Tamandua tetradactyla: one gene and its partners. The protein of the gene in region 4 interacts with the protein of the main gene of each other region in a pairwise test. Links are inferred from orthologs where the notes say so. Each region holds a gene or a part of one and is shown on either strand. Other genes may lie near its edges.

Evidence for each region.
Region 1: the proteins of EXOC1 (region 4) and SRGAP2 interact in a two-hybrid assay, tested with the Homo sapiens proteins (2 studies listed by BioGRID and IntAct). The link is inferred for Tamandua tetradactyla from reciprocal best matches to the Homo sapiens genes EXOC1 and SRGAP2.
Region 2: the proteins of EXOC1 (region 4) and NUP54 interact in binary tests that used the Homo sapiens proteins (3 or more experiments, as listed by UniProt). The link is inferred for Tamandua tetradactyla from reciprocal best matches to the Homo sapiens genes EXOC1 and NUP54.
Region 3: the proteins of EXOC1 (region 4) and CEP295 interact in a two-hybrid assay, tested with the Homo sapiens proteins (2 studies listed by BioGRID and IntAct). The link is inferred for Tamandua tetradactyla from reciprocal best matches to the Homo sapiens genes EXOC1 and CEP295.

Annotation. Positions count from the first base shown.
Region 1 is NC_135330.1:63,929,221-63,936,818, reverse strand, and holds the start of SRGAP2 (SLIT-ROBO Rho GTPase-activating protein 2), read right to left. Parts: upstream 3,311-7,598; 5' UTR 3,101-3,310; intron 1,331-3,100; 5' UTR 783-1,330; coding exon 716-782; intron 1-715. Other genes in the region: protein FAM72A, read left to right, coding at 4,757-4,908, 6,391-6,468. UniProt on the Homo sapiens protein: Postsynaptic RAC1 GTPase activating protein (GAP) that plays a key role in neuronal morphogenesis and migration mainly during development of the cerebral cortex. Regulates excitatory and inhibitory synapse maturation and density in cortical pyramidal neurons.
Region 2 is NC_135350.1:52,982,278-52,989,925, forward strand, and holds the start of NUP54 (nucleoporin p54), read left to right. Parts: upstream 1-4,608; 5' UTR 4,609-4,775; coding exon 4,776-4,842; intron 4,843-7,648. UniProt on the Homo sapiens protein: Component of the nuclear pore complex, a complex required for the trafficking across the nuclear membrane.
Region 3 is NC_135334.1:49,395,950-49,403,697, reverse strand, and holds the start of CEP295 (centrosomal protein of 295 kDa), read left to right. Parts: upstream 1-4,445; 5' UTR 4,446-4,590; intron 4,591-7,084; 5' UTR 7,085-7,125; coding exon 7,126-7,240; intron 7,241-7,748. UniProt on the Homo sapiens protein: Centriole-enriched microtubule-binding protein involved in centriole biogenesis.
Region 4 is NC_135345.1:56,285,068-56,293,285, forward strand, and holds the start of EXOC1 (exocyst complex component 1), read left to right. Parts: upstream 1-4,788; 5' UTR 4,789-4,978; intron 4,979-7,893; 5' UTR 7,894-7,929; intron 7,930-8,218.

The DNA of each region.
Region 1 (7,598 bases), on a different chromosome or scaffold from region 4:
CAATAACACACAAGGGTTAAACAATTACGTCTTCCCATTTTCCAGAATCACCACCAACTGGCCACCCTAACAACCCAACTCCATTCAGATTTAAATGAGGCTGGAGACTGGAGACCAGGTGTGGGTGACCTTATTCTGTCTGTTCTCTGACTGTCTGCTAGGCAACCAGGGACCAGGTAGGTATGAGGTGCACACCAAAGGTAGCTATGGACTTTCTGTGACCAATGCCACAGCAAATCTCATATTTTGATAGAGCGCATCAGCAACAGTCCCCACCTCTCCCAGGGCTCTCAAATGGTACACCTTCTCAAGGCTGCCTTTCCCTGCCTGGACTCTTCTTCAACCTCGGATACAGAAATTTCCAAACACCTGTCAGATTTCAGATGTCCTTCAAGGAAACCTGGCCCAGACATCCTGAGGCAAACTGCAGCCTTCTCCAGCTAAGAACCTCCGGCCCCTCCCCCCACCTGGTACAGCCTGGGGGAAAGGGCTGCCATAATAATGGCCCAGGCAGCCTCAAAAAGACAAATCTGAAGCCCACTCCAAAAACGTCCCTTAGCTCCTGGCACTGGTGATTCCCAACCACTTATGAAACCACCTCTGGGGTCGGCCTCACCCCACCTGCTCCACCCAAAGAGTCTGCAAGTCAGGATGGAAATACATGCCTCACAGGTCCATACAGCACATGCATTATGCTATTTTTCAAAGTCCTTACCTTTGACCTGAGTATCGTACTCTGCTATGATCTCCTTATCCTTTTTGAATTTGGCTGGAGACGTCATGTTTTCCTTCTTTCTTCCAAATTCGAATTGTGAATTGATAGATCCAAGAGAAAAAGCCAACCACCAAAATCAATACCTTCAGGACCGCTTTTGCCGAAGGCAGAAGGGGCCCCCGCGGTGGTCTCCAGCGCTCCGGGGAGAGCGCGGGCTGCGGACTGGGCAAACGGTTACGGCGGGCACATGCAGACGGTGGGTGCTGGGGCCGGGCGCGGCGCCTGCCGATTCCTGTGCTAGAGCCCGCGACGCAGCCTCAGCATTAGCCGGGAGAACTGCAGCGCCCGGAGGCTGGCCTGGGGTCTGACATCAACGACACAGGCGGGGAGTGGAAGTCCTTCCGCACAACAACATGGTGTGGGGTTGCGGGGGTGTGGACGCGCCCAGCTGTGTCCCCGAGAGAGACAGTGGGTGCGTATTGGGGTGCCGAGGGAGGGTTGGGCGTGCTTCGCGGTTTTTTGTTGCACAGGCTCGTAGATGCTGCAAATCAAATCCCAAACGGGAGCCGCAGTAGCGAGGACTGGATCGGAAGTCGTTTGCTCTGGTTCACTTGCCTGTAAATGCAGGAAAAGGGGGAGGGGGGCGATAAGCCCGAGCACAGATTCTAATCGCGGCGGGGGTGGGGTAGGGGACGTCCTTCCGAGCCCGGTCTGGGCCCATTCATAGCGGCCAAACGCCGCCTGGCCCGCTGAGCCCCGTGCAGCTGAGAAAGGAGGAAGGAAGCTCCCTCCGGATTTTGTTTTAAGGCTGAAAGAAAACACTCTGGAGCAGCCGCCTAGGCAAGCTTCAGGCAGGGACTGCGACGGGAACACCGGGCTCCGGGCGGGGACTGCGGCACCTCGGCTGCCGCCTGGCCTCCGGCCCCCGCCAGCGCTGGGCAGAGGCCAGCCCGAGGGGGCCCTCCCGGCCTTGCCTCTGACGCGGTCCCAGACCCCCGGCTGGGACAACCCCCGGGACTTCAAAGGAGGGATCAAAGCCCGCAAGCAACGAGCCACCGAAACACAACTTCTTTTCCCTCCCGTTCCTCCTCCCAGTTGTTTTGTTTTTGGTTACTAGCTTCCCCTGGCAGCAAAATATTGGGGGGGCGGGGGAGGGGAAGAATCTGCAGGAAAAAGCCTACTCGGCACGGGACACATCCAGGAAAACAATGTGGTCGGCAGAAGCAGGAAACCGGTTAGAGGCGAGGGTCAGAGCCGGGAAAACCCGGGGGCGGAAGGCAGCCGTGGCCTCCCCCAGCCAGGGAGGAGAGTGACTCTAAATGCCACCCCTCCAGTATCATCCGTGCCCCGAAAACTCAGATACGCACCCAATCCCAAGCAGTGCATGAGTGTGTGTGCGTGTGTACAGTGTGTGTGTGCGTGTGTGTACTCTGGGGCTGAGGGTCGAAGTCCCGACTCCCCGACATAGGAGATGCGGGAGGATATCCCGCCCTAGCGAAGGCCGGGGGGAGGCAGGAGGGAACCCGCCGCGAGCGCAGACCTTGGCGTCTCACTCCACGACGCGCCGCGGCGGCGACCCTCCCTCCTTCCTCGTCCCTTTCCCTTTCCGCGAGGAGAAGACAACCAGCTAGTGTCCCCCTCGTCCCGCGGCGGAGGAAGGGCTGCACGGAGAGAGGAAGAGAGGGATCAGAGGCGGCGTGGATCAGGCGGGCAGGAAACTGGGTTGGGGCGGGGGAGGGTGAGATGGGGTCCTGAGGCCCGGGAATGACTGGAGCATATCTGAAAACGCTTTGAAGGCAGAGAGAGGCAAGAGAAGGATCAGGTTGGGGTGGGGGGTGTTGGACTGTGACACTACATGAAACACAAGGATATTAGCAACTTTGGGGACCGCGATGTGGATCTGGCGATGGGAGTAGATACAGCCGCGAGCCGGGGAGCTGGGCCAGGGGAAGATCCCCGGAAGCAGTGCAGAACACACATCCTGGGTCCTAGGCTGGGTCACGACTTGGAGACCAAGGAAGCTGATGGCCACGGGGATCAACGACGACTGACGAAAACGTAGACTAAGGTGGAGGAACTGGGGAGAGAACCGGCTGCGCGCGGCGCTGCGGCATGTGAGCAAGGGCAGAGTCCCAGGCTGTGCGGTGAAAGGCGAAGAGAGACGCAGCCCTGAGAAGTATTATGGGCTGTACTGGGAGATTTGGAGAGGGTCTGGGAGGGCGGGGGGTGGGGGGCGGGAATCTAAGGGATTCCGGGCGGCACCACTAAGGCAATGCCGCAAGCGGCATCAGCGCCCTCTCCTTCCCGCCTCTAACCGGATTTGTTCAGTCAAGACTCCTGCTCGGCGGACTGGAAGAAGAAATGTTAGAGGGAAGGAGCCTTTACCTGGCTCTGACGCGACGGGTCCCAGGCCCCCGGCTCCGGTTCCCACTCAGCTCTCCACCCCTCTCTTCCCCGCCACCCGCTTCTACGCAGCTCGGCCACCTACTCCCCAGCGGAGACTCCGCCAACTCCGCAGGACCCCGCCGGGAAGCAGAACCCACCCCCTCGCCAATCACCGCCCGTTTTCTACCGATCGATGGGGACATTAGCCAATAGGAATAGCTGATCCCGAGGAGGCCAGGAATGAAGAGGAAGGGCTGGAGAAACTTGGAGGTGTGACTAGTATTACCGAGGCGTGGTCACAGAATAAGCTCCTCCTCGGGTTGTCGAACCCAAGAGGAGAATCGATGGGAGGGATTAAGATGGAACCAACAGCCAAACACAAACTCCTGAGAGAAGGCACCACCAATTGGACCGGGTAAGAGAGGTGGTGCGTTGCGGAGAATTTTAGCCAACGGAGAGTAGAGACCGGAGGGGAATGTAGAACGTCTTCCAATAAGAAGCGCGAAGGGCGTGCCTTGTCAGCTTCACTATGGCGGGAGTAGGGATTTGCCCAAAGCTCCGCAGCTAGCCAATGAGACCAGAGGAGGGGCCAAGCTCGACCAACCACAGAGCCGAACTAATCTCGGCACCGTTACTGGGGCGGGGCGGCCGGTCTCCAGGCCACTAAGATCTCAACAGGGGAAGGCCCCAGAACCTTCCAATACGCAACGTGGGCGAACTTGAGTTCTCCCAATCTGGGCGCGGCGTTGGTAATTCAAACTGACAGCCGGTTGGAAAGGCAGAGAAAGCGGAAGAGGGAGCAAAAAACGCCGTGCTGGGTGACCGAGCCCACAACGCCGACTGAGACCCCTCAAAGTGACCCCAGCCCGCCCCACCACCATCACCGCGCGCATCGAGCGGCCGCTCCGGGGGAGAGCTGCGGGGACGGCGGGGGTCACTAAGGGAGAGGGGCGGAGAGGGAGTACGCGAGAGCCACGGCGCGAGGGCGAGCACGCTGGGGGCTGCCAGGAGAGAAGTAAAGCGAGGGGCCTGCGAACGAGCAGAGCGGAGGAGGTTCACGGGAGAGAAAGGGAGGATTGAGAACCAAGGATCGTACCGGTGGGAAAAGCTGAGGGGACTTCTGAATCTTGGGAAGAAGAGAAAGATTTCCAAAGAAGAGGCGTGGGTAGGGACGCTTAAACCACGATTCGAGAGAGGAATTGGAGTGCTCCAAGGGAGGAGCTTCATGCTGGGAAAGGGGACGTCTTAAAAGGGAAGATTTTTGAAGGAAAGGTATTACTAGGGAAGCTAAGGGAATTGCCGAAGCGGCGGGCGCTAGGGAGGAAAGGATCTGTTCTGATAGAGGAAAAGAAAAGCTGTAAAGAAGGTCCCGAAGCCCTTTGCAGCTTGCCTCCTCCCCACTTCAAACTCTACTCCCTTTCCATAAAGTTGAAAGGAAAGCCAAATTTGCTGCTTCTTCCCTGCATCTACTCAATAAATAATTACCTTTACCCTCTCACCGGGAAAACAGAAAAGAACGCATTTCCTTCTCAATTTTAGGGCTTAGAAAAGCTGGAAGCCTCATAACTTGATCTTCAGCCTAAGGGAACCAAACCAGGCAGGGTACTGCTCTTGTTTACTTTTCAAAATCCCCCACCTCATCCTTCCTGAGACGCCATGTCAACCAACAGCTGTAGTTTCAAGGACCGGTGTGTGTCCATCGTGTGTTGCAAATTTTGTAAACAAGTGCTCAGCTCTAGGGGAATGAAGGCTGTTTTGCTGGCTGATACTGAAATAGACCTTTTCTCTACAGACATTCCTCCTACCAAGTAAGTCATGCTAGTGGCGGGCAACGGTAGCCTTTAAGTGGGAAAAGTGTACGGCTTGGACCTCTGGGAGTCAACAAGGAGGTTATCATTTTGGTGTTCCAGCTAGTCCCAACCGTCTGATAACCCCTTGGTGTATAACTAAGTGGGCAGACTGTCTGGACAAAGTCTGTGGTTTGGCCAAAGTGGCCAATCCTGATGTAATGCTTCTAGGTCAATTATAGTCATGTGACCACATATCCCTTGGGTTGGATCTGGCGCGGTGCCCTGCCCAGCCACCCTATCTCTCTGGAGCAAGTCCATGACCTGTTCTCTAGGGAAATTCAGGCACGGTTTTCTGGGCTGTTGGAGAAGAGAGGCCATTTAAGTTTTTTGGTTTTTCTTAATCCATAATATTTCACACCAGAAACCAGTGTTTTCTATCATTATCTACAATTAGCTTGCTGAATCAGATCCATGTCCATCTATTTCAGTATTCTTTTCCAAACTTTTTCTGAGAAGAATGGGAGACAGATTTTATGGAATGAAAGAGAAAATTAGCCCTTAACCCTTGCTCCCTTAAAACCTATTTTAAATACGTTGCACATAATTAAACTCTTTTAAAATTCTTTTTCAACCACTTTTTTAGGGTAGAGTCCATAAGAATTTGCTCAAATGTACCTTTTTCCAACTCTAAAAGGTAGTTTCTCTTTCCATAGTCAACATATACATATGTGCTCTACGTGATATTCAAGATTTAACTTTTTATTGAAACTTTATCATTAACATAAAAGGATAATTAGCCAAAATATAGGTGGACAGTTCAAGTTTTTACATGCAAAACCAAGAGAAGCAAGCTAATAACCACATTTTTAAAATGAATTTCATAAGAATTTTTTTAATCTTTAAAATATACCCAGTTAAAACTGTTTACTCTTCCTCCCTTGAAGTCCTGGTTTGAATTGGTTTAAGTGAAGTGTTGTCATGCCTAACAGCAAAGCCGAAGGCTCTTCCCTATTGCAGAAATGAATGAGTTAAAATTTTGTGCTTGCATATGTACGGCAAAAAAGAAAACACTAGACAGTAAATATAAAACTTACTATTGCAAGGTTTCTGTGATTTATTTTCTAGTGTTTTTTCATTTTAATAACAGTCTTTCATACACTTAAGAAATTAACCCACTCATCTTTGCAATAACTTTGGTAAGTAATAAGGCATTCATAAAAAGAGCTCAGATAGGTGAATGAGGTCTTTCCTATTATCCGTTCTCCTTTGTAGGAGTTACAGTGGTGGATTAACTTGCTTTAAATATGTGTGAATTAATAAACACACAAGATTTTTTAAATGGAAATTTTATCAGCTATTTATGGTAAGCTCACAAATATTAACTGACTCTTACAAAATATGCTATGGCTATGCAAGTCTCAGCTTTTTAGGTCTACAAAACTTGTGTAAAAATCACAATCAAAAGTACATTTGTGTATTTCTACACTTTTTCCTCTCCAGTGCAGTGGATTTCATTGGAGGATGTTATTTCACTGAAATCTGCAAATGTAAACTGAAGGACATCGCATGTTTAAAATGGTAATTTGTCACAATATTTTACATAGCCCTGGGTTTGGAAGATGGATGTTGATGCTGAAGCACAGCATCAATGGGCTGCAATGAGCACTCATTATAACCTATGCAATTATCCATTAAAAAAACATTTGTTTCTTAAAACAGTGAAAAAGGGTTTTATGATACTTTACATTTGTATATGATTTTACAATTTTTTGAAATGCATTCACAAATGTCACTTTAAATTTCGGAACAAGGCAATGTAGTTTAGGGGGAAAAAAACACTTGGATTTACAGTCATAGAAATTAGGTTTGAGCTTTGGCCCTCCCTTACTCTCTTTGTGATCTTTGATAAATTCCTTAAACCTCTAAACCTCTATTTCCTTATTTTAAAATAAAAATTAAAATGTATTTTTAATTTACTCATTTAGAGTTGCTATGATAATCAAGGCAATGTCATTGGCCTTTGGAAATTATATTCTAGCAGAAAGACAATGAGATATTTAAGTAAATAAGATATTTAAAATGATGGGAAATGTTCCAAATGCAATAATAATAATAATAATAATTGATAGAGAATAATAGAGGTTGGGAGGTGGGAGAGTGGACAAGGACTATTTTAGATAACATGTTTAGAGACACAGTCGCATGAGGAGGGAACATTGGAGTTGAGTTCCAACGAGTGAAGAGCCAGAGGGACAATATTCTGGGCAGAAGGACCAGCGAATGCAAAGAGCCCAAGCAAAAAGAAGCTTAACATGTTTAAGGAATAAAAAGATGATGGCCAATGTGGCTGAGACATTGTGGGCATGGGGGGAGAGTAGTAAAAGTTATTCAAAAGGGTCAGAGACTAGATAGTCTAGAGCAGTGCTACCCAATAGAAATATAATGCAAGGCACATATATGATTAAAGATTTTCTAGTAACCACATTTTAAAAAGAAACATGTGAAATTAATATTAATCGTATATTTTATTTTCCTCACTATATCTGAATATCAGCCTTTAACCAACATAAAACAATTATTGAGGAAAGACTTTGTTTTATTTTTCTGTTCTTAATCTTTGAACTCTTATTTATGTTTTTTACACTTACCGCACATCTCAATTCAGGCTAACCACAGTTCAAGCGCTCAGTAGCCACGTGCAGTTAGGG
Region 2 (7,648 bases), on a different chromosome or scaffold from region 4:
GCTACTGGAACACAGCTCTACATTTTCAGGAAGTTCCCTCCAGCCTCTCCATTACATCTTGAATAACATGTGATATCTACTTAATGCATAAGAATAACCTCCAGGATAACCTCTCGACTCTGTTTGTAATCTCTCAGCCATTTCACTCTTCCCCCTTTTGGTCGAGAAGGTTTTCTCAATCCCTTGATGCTGAGTCTCAGCTCATTCTAGGATTTCTGTCCCACGTCGCCAGGAAGGCCCACACTCCTGGGAGTCACGTCCCACGTAGAGAGGGAGAGGGTGGAGAGTTTGCTTGTTGTGTTGGCTGGAGAGAGAGGCCACATCTGAGCAACAAAAGAGGCTCTCTTGGGGGTGACTCTTAGGCCTAGATTTTAAGTAGACTTGACCTATCCTTTGTGGGGTTAAGTTTCATATGAACAAATCCCAAGACTGGGGGGTCAGTCTATAGCTTTGGTTGTCCACACTGCTTGTGAGAATATCAAGAATTCAACTTGGGGAAGTTGAATTTCTCCCCTTCTCACCACTCCCCGATGCAAATATTTTTCCACTCACTGATCAAATCACTCTGGGATTCATCGGGGCATCACTCTGGACAAACCAACAAAATCTCATGCCCTACCCAAGATTCCAAGTATTTATGGTGTTCAATCAAGCTATCTACATAAGTTATAATAGGAAATGCACTAGTCAAAATATAAATTTTGTACCAAATATATATTTTTTGCTTTAGTCTCACTTAAATTATATTTTAAAATATTAATTACCATCTATTTTCAACTCCCAGCAGTAATGACATTCCTTTGTTCTTCCTCATGCAGAAATATTGTTAAATTTGTATATTTAGCCACTATCATTATATACTCAAGGCATTCCTAGATTATACCATCTGTCTTTATTGTCTATCTTTCTTTCTGATTTCATTTGTGCCCCCAGCCCTCTTCCCTCTATTATTCTCACATTCAGCTTCATTCAGTGTTCTAACATAATTGTATTACAGTTAGGTAGTACTGTACTATCCATTTCTGAGTTTTTACAATCAGTCATGTTGCACAATCTGTATCCATTCACCTTCAATTACCCAATATCTTACCCTATTTCTATCTTCTGATGGTCTCTGTTACCAACTGAAATTCTCCAAGTTCATTCACTAATGTCAGTCCATATCAGTGAGAACATATAGTATTTGTCCTTTTGTTTCTGGCTAATTTCACTCAGCATAATGTCCTTAAGGTCCATTCATGTTGTTACATACTTCATAACTTTATTCTGTCTTAAAGCTGCATAATATTCATCGTATGTATATACCACAGCTTGTTTAGCCACTTGCCCGTTGATGAACATTTTGGCTGTTTCTGTCTCTTTGCAATTGTAAACAATGCTGCTATAAACATTGGCGTGCAAATGTCCATTTGTGTCCTTGCCCTCATGTCCTCTGAGTAGATACTTAGCAATGGTATTTCTGGGTCATATGGCAATTCCATACTTACCTTCCTGAGGAACCGCCAGACTGCCTTCCACAGCATTTGTACCATTTGACATGCCACCAAAAGTGGATAAGTGTGCCTCTTTCTCCACATCCTCTCCAGCACTTGTCATTTTGTTTTACTGATAATGGCCATTCTGGTAGGTGTGAGATAATATCTCATTATAGCTTTTTTTTTTGTATGGGCAGGCATCGGGAATCAAACCCGGGTCTCCAGCATGGCAGGCGGAAATTCTGCCACTGAGCCACCATGGCCCGCCCATCTCATTGTGATTTTGATTTGCACTTCCCTAATAGCCAGGGAAGTTGAGCATTCATTGATTTGATGTTTGATGAGGTTTTCCACGTCTGTTTGAACATTCTGAATTAATTATTTCAACTCCTGTATCTCATTTGAATTGTTGGTTTGTTCCTTTGACTGGGCCATATCTTTAATTTTCCTTGTGTGATTCGTTATTTTTTTTGCTGGCATCTAGGCATTTAATTACCTTAATTAGTTTATTTTGGAGATTGCTTTCACTTCTTTTACCTAGGATTTTCTTGCTGGATGAATTTGTTGTCTATCTGTTCTTTGACATTCAGTTCAGCTTATTCTGGACCTCTAGCTTAGGTTTTGTTCAACAGAGGAGAATTTTTCAGTTCTTGTTTTCTTGTTTCTTGCCCTGCCTGTATGGTGCCTTCCCCGCCCACCCCACATCTTAGGAGGGTCTACTTAGGTATAATAGACCCAAGCCAGATTTTCCCAGACCAAACTGGCCTCCTATCAGGAGGAAAGAGTCACCTGCTTCGATTTTCCCTGAGGGTGAGACCTAGCAGGTTGAAAGACTTTCCCATGAAGTTTCTGGACTCTGTGTTTTTCCTATGTTGCCCAGTATGTGGTGCTTGTCTGCCTGCAGGTCCCACCAGCATAAGGTGATGTGGTACCTTTAACTTCAGGAGATTCTCCCTGCTGGGGGCATGGCAGAGACAGTGGAGAGGTTGTAGGATGGCTTTAATCACCTCAAATTTCCAACCCCCTGGGGTCTGAATTCTTTCAGGGAGGGAATCCACCTGAGCTAGGCCCCTCCCCTCTCCTAGGGAAGGCACAGGCTCCAGACAAGCTCTAAAACAAGCTTGTTTATGCCTATGCCTGGGGCTGTTGCAGCCTGAGAAGCCCTGCTGCTGTATCCAAAGGCAGTCAAGTCTTTGTAGAACATAGCCCCCAAAAAAGAAAGAGAAAAATCCTTCTCAGAGCAGGATCCCCATTTCTTGGGTTTGCCAATCAAGAGCATAAGTTGGTATGTTGACTGTGTACCTTCAGATTCTATGTGCCCCCTCCTTTCCTTCAGGGCCCAGACCCCTTCAAGTATTATATGCTATCCGATCCAAAAAACCTCTGTTTCTTTTTTCCTTTTTCAGTCACCCCTGCCCCCTCAGAGCCAGGGCAAAAATCAGCAACCTCCATTTTGAGGAGGTTCACCTGAGCTAGGGCCCTATTTTTAGTAGTCAGAATTTGTGAATTAATTCAGCAACTGGAGTTTGGTTGAGCTCAGCCTCTGCTGCAAAGTAACGTTCCTTTTGTTCACCCCTAGGAAGCAGCCTGTTGGGGAGGGGTGCCGACCACTGCAGCTTGGGGGACTCACGGTTCTGGGGGGGCTTGCAACTGGTCCAGCTGGTCCAGACTGGGGTACGCTGTGTGTCTGGTCACTGAAGTGGCCCCAGCAGTTGTTTTGTAGTGTTCCTGGCTACTTACTAGCTGTTCTGGAGGAAGAACTAAACCCCGTACCTTGCTAAGCTGCCATCTTGGCACCTCTATCTTTCTTTCTTGACAGCCCCTTTCAACATGAAAAAGTTAGAATGGCCAAAGCCCAAACACCCTTAAAGATTGGGATAGAAAGATCAAAGGTGATGGTGGAGTTATATAGAGAAGGTAGGGTTTAACAAGTTATATGACTGCTGAATCACTAAGTTGATATTTCTTTTAGTCTTCAGTATCTTAGAGTAGCTATAAGTAAAATCCTAAAATTGTGAAATTGTAATCCATACCAAAGTCTGAAACCTGTTCTACAACTAATTGTACTGTGGTTTGAAATTGTTTCTGTATATATTTTTTTCACAAAAAAGAAAAAAAAAGTTGATTGTGATGATAAAAAAACATTTATTCCTTCTAGCCTCTTATATTCTGTAACAGCTGGAAGGAAAACTCTTAGACGATGGTATAGTAGCCCATGACAAACTCTGGAATCTGTCCTATAACTACTTGCTGAAGAGTGCTTTAAAAACTATTGCCTTTTTCTCTCTTTGGTTTGTATATATGCTATATTGTACAATAAAAAAAAATTAAAAAAAAAAAAACCAAAAACAACTACCTAGGCTAGAATTCACCAACAAGTCGACCTTAGCCAAGCTACTTAGCAACTTTAAACCCCGGTCCTCCCATTTCCTGTGAAATTACGTTAATAACAGAGAAATCACGTTAATAATATGAGGACTAAATACTATTTCAAGTAGAACGCAACGGCACAGATTTAAGTACTTAGATGGTGCAGGTGCCTCACAGAGGGCCACTCTGCCCCTCACTTCAGTGTTCTCTTTACAGCTTAGAGGTTAAGAGCACAGATTCTGGATCCAGCCTGTCCCTCTGTGTCTATTTCTTCCTCCCGAAAATGGGGTAATAATAACCTATCTCACAGGGCAGTTGAGGATTAAATTAAATTAAAGTATGTAAAATGGTTAGAATCTGTGCCTAACGAGTAAACACAACGAAGTGTTTGCTACTATTTCCATTATCTTTAAGTTCTCTCAACATACCATTTCTTTCCTACCTCTGTTTCTTCTAATCATTCTTCTAGACTGGGTTCAAACACCACTTCCTCAGAGGGGGCCTTCCCGACCCCAACCCAGGTCCTCTTAGGACCGCTCTTTGACAGGACATCTTCGACCCCTACCACCAAACACGCGTATTCTAAGAAGCCCGCCGCATATCTCAACGGTAACAACTTCAGCCTGTTGCATGCCTTTTTCAAAAAACGTCTTTAAGACAGGGTCAACAGTGGGTACGCTCCCGCGAGCTTCCCCACGCGTTACCTTTGTCACGTGGACCCGCCGGGTGTGAAGCCACAAAGCCTCTAGCCGAACTAGGGGCGTTTCCTATCGACCCTCCACCCCTGCGCCCTTCGCGCATCCCGCCTCTAAGGCTGGGCCAAAAAGGAGGCGGAACTCTGTGAGTTGTACGGCGGTTTCCCAGCCGGACCGAAAAACCGTGCGCACGGAGGGTCCCGGGAAGAGTGCTTTGGGCTTTGACTCCCGCGACATGGCCTTTAACTTTGGAGCTCCTTCGGGCACTTCGGGCACCTCTGCAGCCCCCGCGGCTCCCGCGGGTGAGTGGTCCCTTCCGACCTTCTCCTGGGGAGGCGAGGAAGCCTTCGGGCCCTCTTGCCCCTCCTCGGGCCTGGGGGATCCTGCGGTCTCCCGCCCGCGAGAAATTTGGGGGCATCCGGAAAAGGGCGGGCGGCAGTGGAGGGGCGGAGGCGGCTCCTGAGGAGGCCGCCGAGGGGCTAGAGGTCCAACCCGCAGCTCGTGCTCCGTGCGTGGGTCTCCCCAGGGCCCTGTCTTTCCAAGGTGCGCTTCCCGCCGCCGCCGGGGAGTCCCGTTCCGTGAGACTCCCCTCTCCCCTTGCTTGAGACCCGCCTTCCCCTCCCTATCCTAGCTTCTGGGACAGGCGGGAAAGCTCTCGTGGCTCCCGCAGCCGAACTGGATGAAGCTAGGTTTGGGTAGCTCCGGACGCTGCCCTGCGGCTCCCTCTGTATCAGTTCGGAACAGGCAGGTGCCTACGCTGCGAGCCCTTTGGTCCTTGGTCCTTCCTACGGGTCTTCACGCTGCTGCTCCTGCTCTTCCCCACTTCCTGTGCTTTCTTAACTCATTTGGAGCAGTCAGGTTTGTTTCTGTTCACTTCTCTGAAACCTGCTGATTCTTCTAATTCTTATCTTTTCCTTTTTTTTTTTCTTCTTTCTCCTTAAAAATTGTTTTCTTTGTTTCTTTGCCTTCACGCCTATCAGGATTTGGTGGGCTTGAGACTGCCAACTCCGCCGCCAGTGGGTTTAATTTTGGGGGTTTCGGACTAACTGCTAATCCTGCAGTGAACTTTAATATTGGGAATTTCGGTGTTTCTACTACCTCGGCGCCTCCATTCAATTTTGGTAACAGTCTGGCAAGTGCAGGTAGATACTGCGGGTCGTATGTGTGACTAGTGTTGGGAGCTGGAGTCCAAGAATGTTTCGTGGTTCCTAGAATTTGGAACAGAACAGAACAGTGACTTGTCTAATAAAGGAAATTGATTTCCTAATGTCTAATTAAAACCATTTGTAAAAAAAAAAAAAGCATTTGTATCAAGTTTTAACTGTCTTGTTGAATCTTCAAAGATTCTGGGAAGTTCCCTTCTTAAATTTGCACTTAATTGAACTGAGTGTATCTTCCAAATGACAAGAATTTGGAATGGGTTATTATTTTGAATGTATCTTCCGAATTATTAGATTTATCTGCCAAAGTGTAAACTCACCGTTTAGGCCCATTTTCCAGAGATTCTTGGACTCCTGCAGTCATTTTTCATTTTTTTTTCGTCTTTCATTTCGACTTCATTTGATTGTCTTTCTGTTTCCCAAGGGAAACAAGTCTTATACGAACAGCAGTGACCTGTCTGGTTTTTTAACCTGTCTAAAAATAATATATTTCTGTAGTCAACTCTACAGATTAGGATACACTTTTGTAAGATATGTAACTGTATAATTCTTTACTGGATTTTGGTGATATAATTAGAATTATTAAATTTATTTTCAGGTAGTATTGAACCATATTAAAAGATAGGATAGACATCTTTGCACTCTAAAAGATCATTGTGAAGATCTTGCTATCTATTAAAAATTTTGCAAAACAAAAACTATAATGGATTGTGTAAATTTAAAGTAGGTCTGTGTACGCAGTTTACATACAGTGACCCTATAGAAAAATCTTGTTCCTTAGCTGCTCGTATATGAATTTTACTGTCCATATTCTCCTACATTATGCCACTTATGCCCATGCCAATTATATGCATTTGGTAAAGGTTCTTCTCTAAAATTTATTGGAAGGTTTGCTACTTTGAGCTTTCACTTGTTACTGCTATCTGAATATCACGCTGATGTTTGAGTTGAAAACAGTTTAAAGGGTGTTTGAAATTGCAAAGATAAAACGAATGATTACTTTTAAGATATATTTGAAGTGATCACATGCCCCTGTCTTTTAGTATGTTTACTTTTCCCTGTTTGCTTAAAATTGGCACTGGGTAAAACAGAAACATTATTTTGAAATTTGTTTCTGAGTAAAGCCACCAGCTCATATTCAACAAATATAAATAAACCTGTTGTTTGCTTGATTTCATTCTTCATTTGGTGTTATGTTTTATATTGTGGCAATGAAACGGTTTTAACTACTTTTATGTATGTTAATTAACCTAACCTTTTGCAAATGGCTGATAGAAATTCTTGTTTACGTTTTTATTTTGTACTCTTGTAGACCAGCTATAACAAATATTCTTGTATTGTGGACAAGATAATATAGTGACTGATATCTTTATTGTGAAGTCAATTTAGAAAATATCTTATCCTACGAACTTGAGGATTAATGTAAAAGATTAAGAACAAGGTTTAATACTTGAGGTGATTTTTATAAAAATGTTTACAGTTTGCAGCCCTGCAGTAGGACCTACAGATAAATAGGATATTTGGTTATCCCTGCATGCCACATACAGTCTACTTTTGAGTAATTTCCTTAATCAGAATTATATGATTTACAATCAAAGGTTGGTTTTTTCTTATATCTTTTATGTTACAGTCTTGATGAATCTCTGTCTTGTGTACTAGAAATATATAAGATGGTTAGACTCTCAGAAAATCTGCTCCATAACTCAGAGTAAGCAGGGTCTCCAAACATTTGTCTTGAAAGTCTTTTTGGTACCACATTGCTAATCAGCTAAAGACTGACAAGAAAGAAAAAAAAAACACGTGAAACTATTGTAGATTAACTAACATTTCATTCATATGTAGCTGTCTGAAATTTTTCTGTCATAGTTGACAGATTGTGTCAGAAGTATATTTAGCTCTTCTCACTTTCTTGGCACTGCCTTCCACTTGTGCACTTTTTCCCTTACCT
Region 3 (7,748 bases), on a different chromosome or scaffold from region 4:
TTTGAAAATGGGAACTTGAACATATATTTGCACACCAATGTTCACAGTGCCGTTATTCACAATTGCCAAAAGTTGGAAGCGACTCAAGTGCCTATCAACAGATGAATAAACAAAATGTGGAACACAATTACAGTAGAATATTATTCAGTTGTAAAAAGGAACGAAATTCTGATACATGCAATAACATGGATGAACTCTGAAGATATCATGTTGAGTGAAAGAAGCCAGATATAAAAGAACAAATATTTTATGATCTCACTAATATGAAATAATTAGAATAAGCAAATTTATAGAGTCAGAAACTAGAATCCAGGTTAACAGGCACCAGGGTGGGAATATGGAAAGAGGAGTTACAACTTAATTTCAGAAAGTGCAGAATTTCTGTTTAGGATGTTGGAAAATTTTTGGTAATGGATTGTGGGAAACTGCTTATGGCACCGGCAGTGTGCCGGCCATCTTGTGGCCTGATGCCATCTTAGGTACTAACTCAAGTTAAGTTTCTATTTCCTCACTTCTGCTCTACCTTTCCCCGAAATCAGTGGACCTGCCTTGGCTGATCAGCCTTTCCCAGCTTGGTCCCTGCTGATTGGTTGCTTAACTGCAGGGTAATGCCCAACCTCTGCTGACGTCCGCTACAAGTCACCTCCCCTTTCTTGCTGCATAAATACCCTGGATTCGCCTTCAATAAACGAGACTTGATCAGAATCCTGTCTTGTCTCCATTCTCTGTGTCTTTTGTCCCCCGTTCTACCTCCCTCCCTCAGGTCCAGGTTCGTCTGTCCCGCGGGTCGGGTCAATTGATGGCGTTCATGTAGAACAATATTGTGAATGTGATTGACACCACTGAATTACACATTTGAATGTAGGTAAAAGAGGAAATTGTTGTTTGTATATGTTACCAGAATAAAAACTTTTTAAAAACATAGGCTTGACAACACAGTGACTCCTGATGTAAACTATAGATTTGTTAATAGTATAATTACAATAATATTCTTTCATTAATTGTAATAAGGGAGCCACACTAATACAAATTGTTAATAACAGGAGGCATATATGGAAACTATATTTTCTGTATGATTTTTCTGTAAACCTACAAGATCGCTAAAAAAAAAAATCATACATATAATCAAGATAGAATTGTAAACAAGAACAAGAGGTCAATTACACTAAACTCCTTGAGAGCAAAGTGCGTATCTTGTTCACTAGTGTAGCATCTAGGAAAAGATCTGGTATGTAGAAGATACTCAGATTAATTGATGAATAAATGAAGACAGATATAATCCCAGCCCCAGGATATGATACCCATAGAACTGGCCCCCTCACCAGTTCAACCATCATGATAGAACTCATATTAGATTTGAGCAGGGACATATGCTCATATCCTAATAAAAGCCTAGAGAGAAAATATTCCTCCCTGCAGGTTCCAGTATGAATAACTCTTGGGAAGGATAAAAGACCCCGATTGGCCCAATTGAGGTCATGTGCCCATTCTTGTTTCCAAGCTGGGTAAGAAACCTAACCCTGTGGCCTGGAGGGTCGGTTCTGTACCAGAAGGAGGAGAATTTGCTATGGAACAGGAAAAACAACAACAACAAAAAAGTTAGGCTACCTAACAAGTGTATATCTCTTTAGAGTTTACAAAATGTTCCTACAGAATTTATGCCTTGTGAATCTCACAACTACTATATGAAGATGGATGGCAGGACAAGTATTAATAAAGAACTGGTGGATTAAAGATGCTTGCAAATTCCCTGTCACTCTGTTGGGAGATGAAATTTATTTACCCTTCACTTGAACCTGAGCTAGCTCTATGATACTTAAACAAAATGTGGCAAAATTTACTACCACTACTTCTCCACCTCACCTTTAAAAGGACTTACAACTTCCATTTGTTCTGGGAATGCTCACTGTTAGGATACTCTCTTTGAATCCAGCTACCATGTAGTGTAAAGTCCAAGGCACATGAAGAGTACTTTGGTCAACCGTCCTAGCTGAGCTCTCAGCTGACATCCAGCTCAACTGCCAATTGTATGAGTGAAACATCTGTACATTCCAGCACAATCAAACTCCCAGATGTCTCCAAGTTCCAGCCAATATCACATGGAAAACAACCACCCAGTTGAGGTCACTCAACCTAGCACACTATAAAAGATAATCAATGGTTGTTATTTTAAGCCTTTTCATTGTGGGGTGGTTCGGTTTACAATAGATAACCAAAACAGAAATAAGGTTTAAGGGGTTTGACTTAGGCTAGAAAGTATCAGAGCTGGGATGTTAAGCCAGATGTTTGGACCTAAGCCCACTGCGCTTTTTTCTTTTTTTTTAATTCCTTACCTCTTTTCAAAAACAGAAACAGCCTTGACTCAAAATGTCCAATTGAAGAATTTCAGCCACAGGATGTAGGCTGGGGAAAAAGTGCATATCATTCACTCATTCGACAAATACTTGAGAAACTCTATGTGCAAGGCAACTGAACAAAATGCATTTCCTCATTTCAAGAAATTCAGAATCTAGTGCAAAAAGACAGCTCCATAAAACAGCTCATTTTAATATGGACAGGTGTCATGATGGGTAATGTGCAGGGTGCTTTTGGAACGGATGGTAGGCACTAAACCTAGTCCAAAACATCAAATGATGGGCACATCTTCTGATGGGTGTGGAGGGTATCTCTGAACCTATGTTGAGGGTGTTGGAATGTATAAAAAGAACTACTCATGAAGATAAATATGACACTGTGGTAGAATGCTCACCTGCCATGTGGGAGACTCAGGTTCAATTCCCAGTCCATGCACGCATACACACACACAAAGATAAATATGAGAGGAGATTGGAGAAGGGAGAGGTAGAGAGGAGGAATCCTACTATTTGGGGTGGAGAAACGAATTTCAGTGCTAGTTCTACCCTTTACTTACATATGTTCTTTACCAAGTCACAGAACCTATCTGTGACTCAGCTTCCTGGATTGTAAACCAAAATGGGTTCACAGCTTTTCTTCTTCAAGCACTTGGCTGATCTTTCCTCCAACTCCTTCTCTTTAACTTTTGTACTTAGCTCATTGCTCTTCCCACTCCGAGAATTCTCCCTAAGTGATCTCATCCACTCCTAGAGTTTTGGTTATTACTCATATGGCATTGGAACCCAAATTTAGCCCAGTTCTTTCTGCAGGCTGTCTTCCAGTGTATTATCAGTTTGCTGGATATCACTGACTATTCCACAGGCACATCAAGTTTCTCATGTCCAGAGCTGAGTTCATCACTTTGCCCACTTAAATAACTCCCACTCGTGCTGATTTCTCCCTCAGCCCATGGATCATCATAGCAACTCAACTAGTGGCCCGTGAGGCTAACTTTACTCTTCCTTTTTCCTTAACTTCACATGCAATTATTTGTCAAGCACTGCTAATTTTGCATCCAAAATATTTCTGGATTACATCTTTTTGTCTAGACAGCCCATAGGAGAGCAAATTCAAATTATTTAAAGCTTAAATCATTACTTCCTCTCCCCAAACCTCCTCTACCTTGCCACCCACTCATCTACAATCTGGAACTTGGGCATCACCCTTTATTTCGCCCTCTTTTTCTCCTCCCATAACCAAGTAACCATCAGTTCCTGATGTTTGGCCTTCTTTTTTGCCTCTTAAATCTACCCTCTTCTCTCAATCTTACCCACTTCTCTCCATTCTCATTACTATCATCTTTAATTTCTAGGATAAATAATATCCTAATTGATTTTCCTGTCTTTCAATTTTTAGTCTTCAACCTTTAATCTCTTCTCTGCAGCCCAGACAGAATCTAATCAGGTCAGCAACCCCTACAGCACCCTTACCCCTACCCCTAATTTCTGGTATGCTTAACTCCCTAGACTGCATTTTGGTGGGACAGGGGCCATGATTCAGTCTACCCTTGTACCTCCTCACCTAGCACCTAGAGTACCTGGCACAAAATAGGTATTCGGTACATGAACCTGTGCTCACCTCTTGATTACAGGTTCGTAGCAGATAGATCCTTGACCCGTTTTAGTTGTCTCGAACCTCTGGAGTCACTGAGTAACATATGATTCATTTTTGAGAGCTAGAGTCTTTACATGAAAGCTATCAGAAACTAACTGTTGTATAATAGTACCAATAAATTATATATCAGTATATAGAAAGATGCATATTTTAAGGCATCTTCGTGATGGAGTTTTTAGACTAAAATCAATCTCAAGATTCTGGGCAAATAACTTCACCTTTCGGTATGTCTGTCTCCTAATCTGTAAAATAGGCATACTGAAAGCAATGAAGAAAAACTTCAAAGTCGCTGTAACCTGTGAGAAACCACGGACCTTAGAATGACCGGCCCGTGCATGTGCGCGTGCGCGAGGAGAGGGGCTTTACCTCAGCGCGGCCCTCCCGGCAGCCCCAGGGGGAGGCGAGGCCAGGCTGATTTCCGCGGTTTGTTCCCGCCATTGGTGGGCGGTTTGAATGACGGAAGTGACGATGGCACAGCTATGGCTGCCCCGTAGGCGCACGAACGGTTGTTTTGAACCTGAGTGGCGGTGGCTGTCCGGGCAGTCTAGGATACGGCTTTTGGCCCTGGCTCCAGATTTTCAGGTAAGTGACATATCGGCTCCCCGTGAACCTGGATGTGCATGACTCCCTGAGCCTCACGAATTAGGAGTGTGCTTAGAATGAAAGGGATTCCGTGCCGCGTCGCGAACGCAGCATGGCCGGCACATCTCAGACTTAGTCAGACCTTCGATTCTCGATGGGGTTTGACTGGCAGAAGTAAGGAGCGCCCAGTCAGGAGATGCGTCCCGACCCAGGCCTGCCAGCTTCATGCGAGAGGCTGATCCAGGGTCTTTTGCTCTTGTGGCTTTGAGCGCCTTTGCCGGGTGGGGTCGCGCGGGTTCTTAGTCCCGGGCAGCCGGGAGGGCCGCCGCCGCCGCCACTGCTGGAAGCACTTCTGGACGCGTCCTGCCTCACATTACCCGTGAATATTGGCTGGAATCGTTCTATGCAGAAAGTACACTCTTCTGGTGTGGCACCGTTAATTTCCCAGGATTTAATAATCCTGCCACGAACTGAGGTTTTTAAACAATAACCAACTTTTGAATCTTTGATACTTAGAATGTATATGGCAGTTTCACCTTCATTAAGTCACATAATCATCCGAACTGTTGGGGTAGATATAATTATCCCCATCATACAAGGTTAAGAAACTGAAATTCAAAGAGACTGACGTAGTCGGTGTCTTCAGCTAGTAAGTGGCAGTGATGGGTCTAAACCCAAATCTTCCCGAGTCTGTTATTAATTGAATGATTATATTGCCCCTTACGTATGCCACAGCATTTGATCTTCAGGACAAAATCGTAGATAAGGAGAAATATCTCCGTTTTTGATGTGCTTCTTGGGATTATAGTGAATAGTCAGGATTGGAGCTAATATGTTTCTGCCTCCACAACTCGAGCATATTTCACTGTTTTTCAATGCCAATTTCCTGTTGTAGAGAGAGCACACTACTATGAGCTCATTAGGTTAAGGATTTGCAAAGCAACAGGAAATCTCTGCTTTTAAAAGTGTGTTTTAGGAGAAAACACTTGTTTAGGTTTGAGAAAATCAGAATTCTGCTGATAATACCTTCTGTCACCTGGGACAGCTTTTTTTTAAAGTACTTATAGTGTGTTGCTGAATTTTTTGTAGATGGGTAAATACTAGTACCTGCTAATTTATACTTATACTACCTATAATACCTGTTTGGTTTGTAAAAATAGTTCTTCACCAGGATTGTTATGAGTAAGAGTGGTTTACATACATTTTTATAAGAGTTGCTTTCAATATTAAGGTAACAGTTATTGGGTAGTAATTATACATAGAATTTTTTAAATCCATGTATCCATATTGATATGAATAAGTAATTAAATTAATTGGGGTAACAGGAAAAGTTCTTCTTTATAGTAGAATTCTAATTGATGAGTGTAGAAGCAATAATAAAAATAGAAAATAACCATTTGATAAACTCCACAGTAATTGTTTAGACACTAAAATTAATGGACAAAAGAATAATGAGAAATGGAAAATTTGCATAGCCTCAAAGTATCTCTCCAACAGATAGTTATAACTCACAAGGGAAAAGTAGTAACTTTACAGAGAAGAAACCTCGTAGAGTCAGCGTTAACCAAGTGATCAAAATTTCATATGATCCTTAGTAATGGTGCATCAAGATCCTTCTCCTGATGTGATGCACAGAGAAGGGCACATCATCACTTTTGTGCTATTCTTGCCAAAAATTCACAACCTCAACCTAATTATAAGAAAACATCAGACAAAATCAGATTGAAGTGAATTCAACAAAATAACCCGCCAGGATTTTTCCAGAATTAGAAGAGACAAAGGAGACATGACAACCTTGCAGCTTCTTCTCGTAGAGAAGAAGCAACTCACACCTTCAGCCTTAGGAATGTAATTGACCAAGGGCTCCAGCACTCTAAAATCTATTTGCATGGAGGCTACTGTTTCCATGGGCTGTCCCCAGCTAGTAATTGAAGATGGCAGGGATACTAGGGCAGTGCTTTACTTTCAAGGCAATGAACTTTCGCTGGAGGATTTCTCAGAGGCCTTTCTCAAATTTCCTTACATTGCAAGACAGTTTGAGAGTCATCTACTCAATCTTCCCTCCTTTGCTCAGTATCAGTATTGCATTAAAGTCTTATATTCCAGCCTTAATCAGCTCCCTCCCATTTTCCCTCACACAGACATTTTCTCTAATAAAATCTAATCACCTGCGGTTTAATCCTGTCTTGGCATTTGCTTTCTGGAGGACCCTGACCAACACAATAACCAAGTACAATATGTATCCTTACGTTGGATCTTGGTCTAACTCTGAAATTATTTCCAAATGATAGGTTAAGGAAAAAATATATACATACACATGCACATACACACGCAGTAATAGAATAACTAAAGAAAACGGTTATTCTATTACATTTAGGAACTAAAAATAACAAATGTATATTGTTTCCCTCTAATCCTTTGGCAAAAGAAAATGATGATTAATACTCAGAACAATCTGAAAATTCAAGGTTGTTTCTTTTTTCTTTTTGTTGAGGTATAATCTAGACAGAATAAAACACACAAGTCTAAGTGTTGATGAATTTTTACATATGCATGCATCTCTGTGACCATTACGTTGATCAAGATTCAGAAAATTTCCAGCACCCTACCAGGCTTCTTTGTATCCCTCTATCCATCAGTAACCAGAAAGGTAACCCCTATCTAACCTCTTATCATGGATTAGTTTTGCTTGTTTTTGAACTTCATATAAATGGAATTTTACAATATGATCTCTTTTGTGTCTGATTTCTTTCATGCAGTGATATCTATGAGATTCAGTAGGAATTCATTTTAATAGTTGAATATGAGTGGATTTTTAGAGACCTTCCAACAAGTTAATAAAGGCACATAGTGAAGACAATTCAGTCTTGCTCATTTTGTTTTTTCTTTTTTTTCTGTTCTCTAATCCCTACACAAAAAAATACCAGCTAAAATAAAGGTTTTCTCTCTCCACATGTTTCAGCTATCAGAAAGTTAGGAGTCATTTGGAATAAGGAAACCAGATTCTTTCCTTGGCTCTACCACTAGATATTGTCTCTTTAGACAAGTCTTATAACCCAAAAGGCATTTGTTTCATCACGTAACGTGAGGAAAGCAATAGGCACTTCTACCATTACCAAGCCTTGGGTATATCAAATGAGTGGATGCCTTAGAAAAAA
Region 4 (8,218 bases):
TAACTAAGTGATAGCCTATAGAAATGTAGAAGAGATCAACAAATCTTTTGATTTGCAGCTCTTGGTTTGGTGAATGCACTCTTGTCAATTCCTAAAGGTAAAGAGATTCAGAAACAGTTCATTTTACAATAGTACACATTCACGGTATTTCACCAGGACTATGTTAACTTTGCTCTTGGCCACAATAGAGGTGTTGGGGACCTTAATCACTTTAACATGCTTCAGAATATCATGCTGGGCTCCTACACTGATTGGTCTCATTGAGTAGGAAGTGACAAGTACTCTAGATGCTAGAAGGTAAGAAATAAACTTCATGGAGATTCAGGACCTGATCATCAGTGAAACTTTTAGAGGCCACCCCCCTTTAAAATAACAGACAAGTTATTGCCCTTTGCACCTACTACAACTAAGAAAGAAGTACAGGATTAATGAGCCTCTTTGCATTTAGCATATAGCACACTTAGGAATATTGCTCTAACCCATTTATCAGGTGCCAGTTTCAAGTGTGGCCCAGAGCAAGAAAGGACACTGCAGTAGGCTCAGTCTGTGGTACACGTTGCCCTAGTGCTCAGGCCATTTATCACATTTGTCTGATGATGATAGACGGATCAGTGGTAGATAAGAGTGCCATGTGAAATCTGTGGGAAGCCCACTTTAAGAGTTGCAGGACAGGTAACTAGTATTTTCAAGGCCATATCTTCTCAGGCAGAGAGCTATCTAACATGAGCTGGATATAATCAAACCCACCAAGTCACAAGTCCATGGGGATAGCAAAAATCTACTGAAATATGATACTGAATAGGCTTGAACCTGAGCACATCCAGAAAACTCAAGCAAATTACATGAATGGGTCATTCTGACTCCCAGGGCATTTATTCCTGTATCACTGATGTCTCCTGCTCAACCATCTCACAACTATGGCTTCCTGGAAGTTCTCTATGACTGTAAGAATTTGAGAGTTTTGCCGTGCAAAGGAGGACTCCAAGAGACGTTCTCTCATGCAACACGCAAGGGGTTTATTTACCACACATGCGTGGGGCTCACTGAACACGCAGGGACAGAGAGCCCCGAACCTGGGTTTTGGGAAGCCTTTTGAGGGCCAGGATAAGGGTGTGGGGTTTGAGGGTTGAACATTAGTTACAGGTTCTGCTTTATGCAGGAAGTAGATAACGAACATTTTGCGAGAAGCAGATAACAAACATTTTTCGCGCATGAGTCATGGGAGCTGCTTCTTGCAAGAAGCAGCTGTCTCATGCAAAACTCCCTTACTCAACCTTCTCAGTTGCATTCTTAGATAAACTTTCTCCGGCAGTTACAACCTTGCATAACCAAGGCAGCAGAAAACCTTGCATAACAAAGGCAGCAGATAACCTTGCATAACAAAGGCAGCAGATAACCGCCCCTGGGAAGTCCCGGGTTGTTTTAGCCTGATGGGGCCCATAACTCTTTTCTTTATAAAATCCTTCTTTACATAAGAAAAGTTAGCTACTGTTAAGTTTTATAAAATCCTTCTTTACATGACCATTTAATGAAAATGAAAAAATTCGAGCCTGGTCCAAAAAATGAGTTGTCCCGTTATGTTGGTGAGTAGCTAACATTGGAGTTCTAAGGCCCCACTCAGGCATAAATTTAAAGAACAATGGTGAAGGGGAGTTTCCAAGATGACAGAGTTGGGAGCAGTGTACTTCATGATTTACTCTATATAGAAGAAGAAGAGGCCTGCGGTAAACATATTTAAAAACTCCTGAGTTTGTCTTTCTTGCCTGCATCCACTGCCAGCATCCACAATCACAGGAATTATAGCAATTCTTATCAACATTACTTGCGACCAAAAAATAAGAAAGGGAAAGTGTGACAAGACATACATAACCACAAAATCCACTGATAACGCCATATCATTAATCACCCAGAAGCAGCCAGCCTCATAAAATGATGGAATGACCCATTACAGCCTTAGCTAATGTGCTTGCTTGGGATCACACCTTGTGGATTGAGGTATTGTCCCACAGGATTTGGTAAATGCACTGAATTAACCAAATTAGTGTTCCAATAGCTAGAAGGCGTGACTGCAGAAACTCAGGCTAAGTGATCCTATTATCACTCCCAGTGACCCACCAACAGAATTTGTGTTTCCTGCCCCTCAAATTTAGACTTCGCTAGGTCAGAATAAATGGTTCCCTCTGGGATTCAGGTTTCCATCTGGATACACAGTATGGATTTCACTGGACTTGAAACTCTCACTATTACTTGGTTACTTTGGTCTTTTCATGGCAGTGAACAAGGTGCAAAGAAAGGAGTTGGTTACTGTACTAGTAGGAGTACCCAGCTGTGATTAGTAAAGGAGCTAGAATTGTTGCTATATTCTATACAATAGCAGCAGGGATGAACATATCTGTAATCTAAGGAATTCATTAGAATGTATCTTAGTGTTTCTGTGCCCAGGGATACGTTGAACAGGCCAACTGCAGTAACTATGCCCCAACCAGTGCAAGGAAAATAAGGTCTAGGCTATTTTACTAGGGAAGTAACCTAGATTAGACGATGTGCTACCCAAGGGTGAGGGAAAGTTAGATGGGTAGTAGAAGACAGAGTTAATGAATGCAAATATGGTCTGGGCATCAGTGTAGAGCAAGGACTGAAGACTATCCACTAACTTTCTTGTATTAAATCCCTTGTATTTTCTTGTATTAAATTAAATTGCAGCTGCAATCTCTGCAACCTTGAAGGAGTGTCTATGAAGGACAGAATTTAAAGAAGGGCACAAGCAGATCTGAGTGGTTCAAGAAGTGAACTGAAATGGACACCTGTGAACTACTTCAAACCCCCTTATCCTCTTTTGCTAACCACTGCTGCAGCAAACTGCTCTAAGTAGGGTTTGATCAACCTTCGGCAAGTCCAACATGGCAACTGCTCTCCTCTCACTTCCCGATTCCTGTGAGGTGGGAGCCAGTTTGGCATTAACAATTGTGTAATTTGGAAGTACTGAATAGTTATTATCCTGGGGGCATTAACCTTTGATCAAAGGGGACAGGAGCCAACAGATAAATGCTTTCTCCATTCTTCTCCTCAGTGGACAGTTTTGAGATTCATTGCATAGCACTTTTCAGAAGATCTTAGGGAATAGAAAATAATAGTGGCTAACTCAATAACATATGCTTATGTTGACTTTCCCTCCTCCTTCCCTTTTTTTTTTTTTTTTTTTGCTCCCTGGGTTCATAATCCCAAGTAAACTATTGGCACATAAACCTTGTTTATGCCTTTATTTGGGGGGAATTTAGGAGGGGAGGGAATAGAAAAGAATTTCGTTTTTGGATGCATTAAGTTTCAGACACCTATTGGACACGCATGTGGAAATGCTGGGGAGACAATTAGATCTACAAACGTGGAGTTCAGGGAAAAAGCTCAAGGTATGTAAATACATTTGGAATACAATTTATTTCTCAATTTTGAGGAGGGCTGTAAACATGCAAATAAATAGGGACAGAGAGGGTCTTTATAGAGAAATAAAGCCTAGATAGAGATCATGCTTTTGAAAGGGGAGTCAATCCATGAAAATGAAGTCTTCGAAAGCAGTGTGACTGGAACATTATGATTTCCACAGCAAACAGACCACCTATTTATGATGCTTTTCCCACTGAATTTTATCTTCAGACAAACACTGAAAGATACTTTGCACAGCTTATTTGTCACTTTCTCAGTAAATCTATCCCTGACAGAGTGAGTTACTCCCTCTTGTACATTCTCAGGGTGCACAAACTTTTTCTACCTCTGTTGTCAGATTTATTTCATTAAACTGTAATTTATCCGTCTATTTAATTCTTCCTCCCCGGTGAGAGTGTGCCTCCTCTTCGGTGACTTTCCTGTCTTTGTATCTTCAACAGCTAACACTGGCACAAAATTAGCCCTGGTTGTTTGTTCAGTTAATGAATTATGAATGGATCCTTGCAGTCCCTTGGGAAAGACTGTCAAACAGGAGGAAATAAATCGCCCCTTTTAACTTCCAGCACGCTTATCTAGCCCGGAGCTCTCTTCTGTCACTTATTTTTGTATCCTATTTTATATTTATTTGTATCTACACCTTGACTAATCTAACGCACTGTGAATTTTTTTAGGATAGGCTACACATCTGAATCACCTCTGGAATCAAAGTACCCGAAAATAAAACACTTGCCAGGGCTATGGAATCAATGAATCATCTGCCTTGAGAACAGCAACACTGGCATCACCTGTGCTTCTAAAAGTTAAATGTTGGGATGCAGATTCAATATTATCTTCACCGGGCTGGAGAGGCTGTATTTTCTAAAATGCTCCCAAGTAGTGCCCATGAAACTGGCCCGTGGAGCACATTTTTGAATATCGAGATCACTAGAGCAATGTTTAGCGATTTCAATTACATACTAAAGTCATCTGGGAAGCTGTCAGATGTACTGCTGTCTGGGTCCGAACCCGAAGATTCCGATTTAACTCGTTCTCCATGCTTTGCGTAGCAAGGGTCTAGAGTTAATCGAGCTTCACAAATGCAAAACAAAAAAACCCACACACATTTAATCGGACTCTTTTGAAGGGAATTGCTGCAAATATGTGAATAAATAAATGTTCCAGAGAAAGTAAATATCGCGCAGCACCCAATCACAGATCAGCCTGCGCGCCAAAAGGCCTCGCCCCGCCCCTGCCCTTCCTGACACGCCCTTCTGGCAGCGCCAGGTCCCGCCTCTCTACGTCTTTCGGGTGGTGCCGCTCCCCGTCGCGTCATTGGCCACTCCCCTTTTCCCACCGCCTCTCCTTCCTTCTCTACGGGGCCCACTTCCGGTTCTGAGGTTTGTCACGTGTCCGGATATGGGAAGTGGTAGTAGAACCACAGTTTCCCGTTCACTGCTTAACTGAGGGGCGCTTCCCGTAGCAGTCATCGCCTCAGTCCCACCCCTTCTCCGTCTTGGAGGACCCGCCTGGGTGCAGGCGGGCTTGGGCCGGTCCTGCGGTAAGCCTTCGGCCGCGGCTGCCTAGTAGACCCTGCGGCGGTGGGCAGGCGAGCGGGCGGGCTTCAGGGTCTGAGGTGGCATCTCAGTCCGCTACTGGCTCGGCGACCCGGGTCGGAGCATAGCTCCATCAGCTGCCAGGTCCTCTTTTCCTTTCCCACCTCTCTGGGTAGGACGCTGGGTCCGGCCAAGACTCCCCTTCTTGCTCTCTGGGGCCTAGGAGAATATGTAGCAGGGGCGGCAGTCCTCGCACATCCTTTTCCGGATCTGCCTTTTAGGAACCAGACTTCATTTGTGCAAAACGGCCCTAATCGTACGTGCTTTGGCGTGGACCAGGAAAGGGAGGTGTAACAGTCTTCCACTTTTTAGTCAAAACCCACATTTTCTTCTAAAATATCTTGAGTACAATTCTCTGACTCCGTACGCTTTTGTTTGTTCTGGGTGACAGTGCGCCACGAGCTAAAATGTTTCAACAGCGTACGGGATCCAATCCACGGACACTCACTGACAAGCTGTCACACAGACAAATTCACCACAGAGAGTAAATCCACCGCAGAGTGAGCGTTGGACTACTGCCTGTGGAACGTTGTCAGACATAGACCTGGGAAATAATTTTGGAGGACTTTAAGTGATTTACTCACTGATTTACAGGAGAGTACATAAGTCTGGAGAGCTTATCATTTGATCCTTAGAATATAAATGCCATGAAGGGATATATCTTCTTGAATGTCTGTCATGTTCACTACTGTAACCTGGCCCCTAGTAAGCATCAATATTTGCTGAACAAATGAGGGGTCTTTTCATTATGCCTAACTCCTTTATGAGGTATGCCCAATCCGCTCTTGTTTTACCACCTACCATACATTTCAGTTACTGCTTTTGACCTGAGAGGGACTGTGTTGTAAATGTTGGCCACCATTAGTCCATTTATTTGACCAGTGTGTACTATTCAGTTCATGTTATCTCAAGAGGTGTTTCATGAGTACCTACCATAAACCCAAACTTTGACAGAGCATTTTGCTCACTCTCTCCCCCACACCCCCTCCCTTTTTTACAGTTAGTTCTTGAGATCCAGGAATTTATGATCTCAGAACCAATTAGTCACCAAGCGCCTGCTTGTTTAATAAATGTAGTAAATGCTATAGACATTGAGAGGGGAGATCAATTTGTACCTAAGATCTTGACTTCACATAAACTATAAAAGTAATTAGAGTTTGGTTAGGGAGGCGATAACATTCCCTGCATGGAAAAGCACCTGAGCAAAAATTTAAAGCCTGGAATGAACAGAGTGCTTGAGTAGAATATTCATCTTTGGAACATTAGGAAACTATTGAGCAAGGGTGTGGTGTGATGAAAGCTATGTTTTAAGATTATTTATTTATGAGAAACTTGGGGATTGTGGAAGCTTGCGAAGATATAACTGTATGCTGTACTATTAAATAGACATAGGTAATGTGAACCTAATTTACTGTAGTGGCAGTGGGAAAAGAAAGGAAGGAATAAATTACTGGTACAGGAGGAAAGCAACAATATGTGGTAAAAGATTTGATGTTGACAATGGAGAAGGGAATGAAATATGACTGAGGTTTTGAACCTGGACAGTTGCTTGCAGATGTGCGACTTGAACTTTGGGAGAGCTGTAGTTATGTTATTTGGTGTTTTTTTAAAAATATTTATAATATGTATATTATGTGCAGTGTGCCAGTTCTAGGAATACAAAGATGAATAAGACATGATCCTTGCCTACAAAGAGCTACTCAAGAATACAGCTAGCTAGAAAATACTGTTGGCAAGTCCAGTGTTCACAGAGTAAAAAGAAAATTTTAGAGAAGTAGAAGTGGAATTATTATTTTGTGACTACTTCACACAAGAGGTGCCATTTTACTGGTATCTTAAAAGAGATGGGGTAGAATTCCAAAGGAGAAAAGAATTCCAGGAAAAGGAAATTACATGAGCAAAAAGCTCAGAGATAGAAACCTAAACTGGCTAGTGTTCAATGTGGCTTGGATATAGGACGGACTAGAGCTTTTAACACTTTATCTAAGCCCTACAGCATGTTAAGTATTTAGTAATAGATGGAAAAGAGGTTAGGATGGGTGAATATGTAGAGAAATGCAGAAGAAAGCAATTGGGGAGAATTGTACGTCATGTTCTCTATATTTTCTGCAGAGTAGGTGATGAAGTCATTTGCAGAGAATGAGGAACCTGACACTAGAGTTGGGAGCTGAAGGAAGAGTAATAAAGATTTGCGACAACAGAGATGGTGAATGGGAAAAGCAAGCAACAAATAACATATTAAATGTTAGAGAATTGTTGAGCAACATTGAAAGTCTGACTGGCTGGATTTAGATATTTGTAGTGTATTCAGAGAACTTAGGTATGTGCTTTTTTTTAAGTGACTATAGAGACAGTTTAAGGAGATTGGTAAAACATAAAGGATCAGTTGGTCAACCAACAGGGTAAGATTATTGAATAATTTAGTGTGAATATAGGAAAAGGAGCACTGCTTCCAGGCTAGGTGGGAAAAGAAATTCAGCTGAAAGAGAACAGGTAAGCTAAGATTAGAGGAAAGAGGGAGTCATAAAAGATGAAGGAGGCAGGAGAATGATTTTTTTTGAGAAAGCAATTTTTGGAGTTGGAGCAAAGATAGAAGCTTCACAGATTGAGTAAAATATAGGAGATCTACTTTACAGAAATATCAGTTGTGTTTTAAAAACTTGTTGCAACTCATTTGACATTCATAATTTCTTCATTTTTCCATAGAAACAGTGTTATAAAGAGAATTTAATTTTCTAGGCAAACTCAACACATAAAATACTTTATACTTAGGATTGAAAAATAGCAATATACTTACACACAAATATATATGTACAAAAAATAAAATTAAGATTCTTTTTTTTTTTTTAAACATGGGCAGGCACCGGGAATTGGCTCTAGGTCCCCGGCCTGTCAGGTGAGATCTAATTTTTTTTTTAAGTTAACTTATCCGATGTTTGAAAAATCCTGTTGTGTTGGATAAGAAAAAGGAGATAACTGGAAATTTTTTTTTAACAGCTTTATTGAGATATAATTCACCTTACAATTCAGGCATTTTTAGTATGTTCATAAGGTTGTATAATTGTTACCACTGTCAAATTCAAAGACGTTGCATCATTCTCAAAAGAAACCCTGTACCCATTAGCAAACGTGTCTCATTCCACCTGTCATTAGCCCCTTTCTGTCTCTATTGATTTGCATAGTCT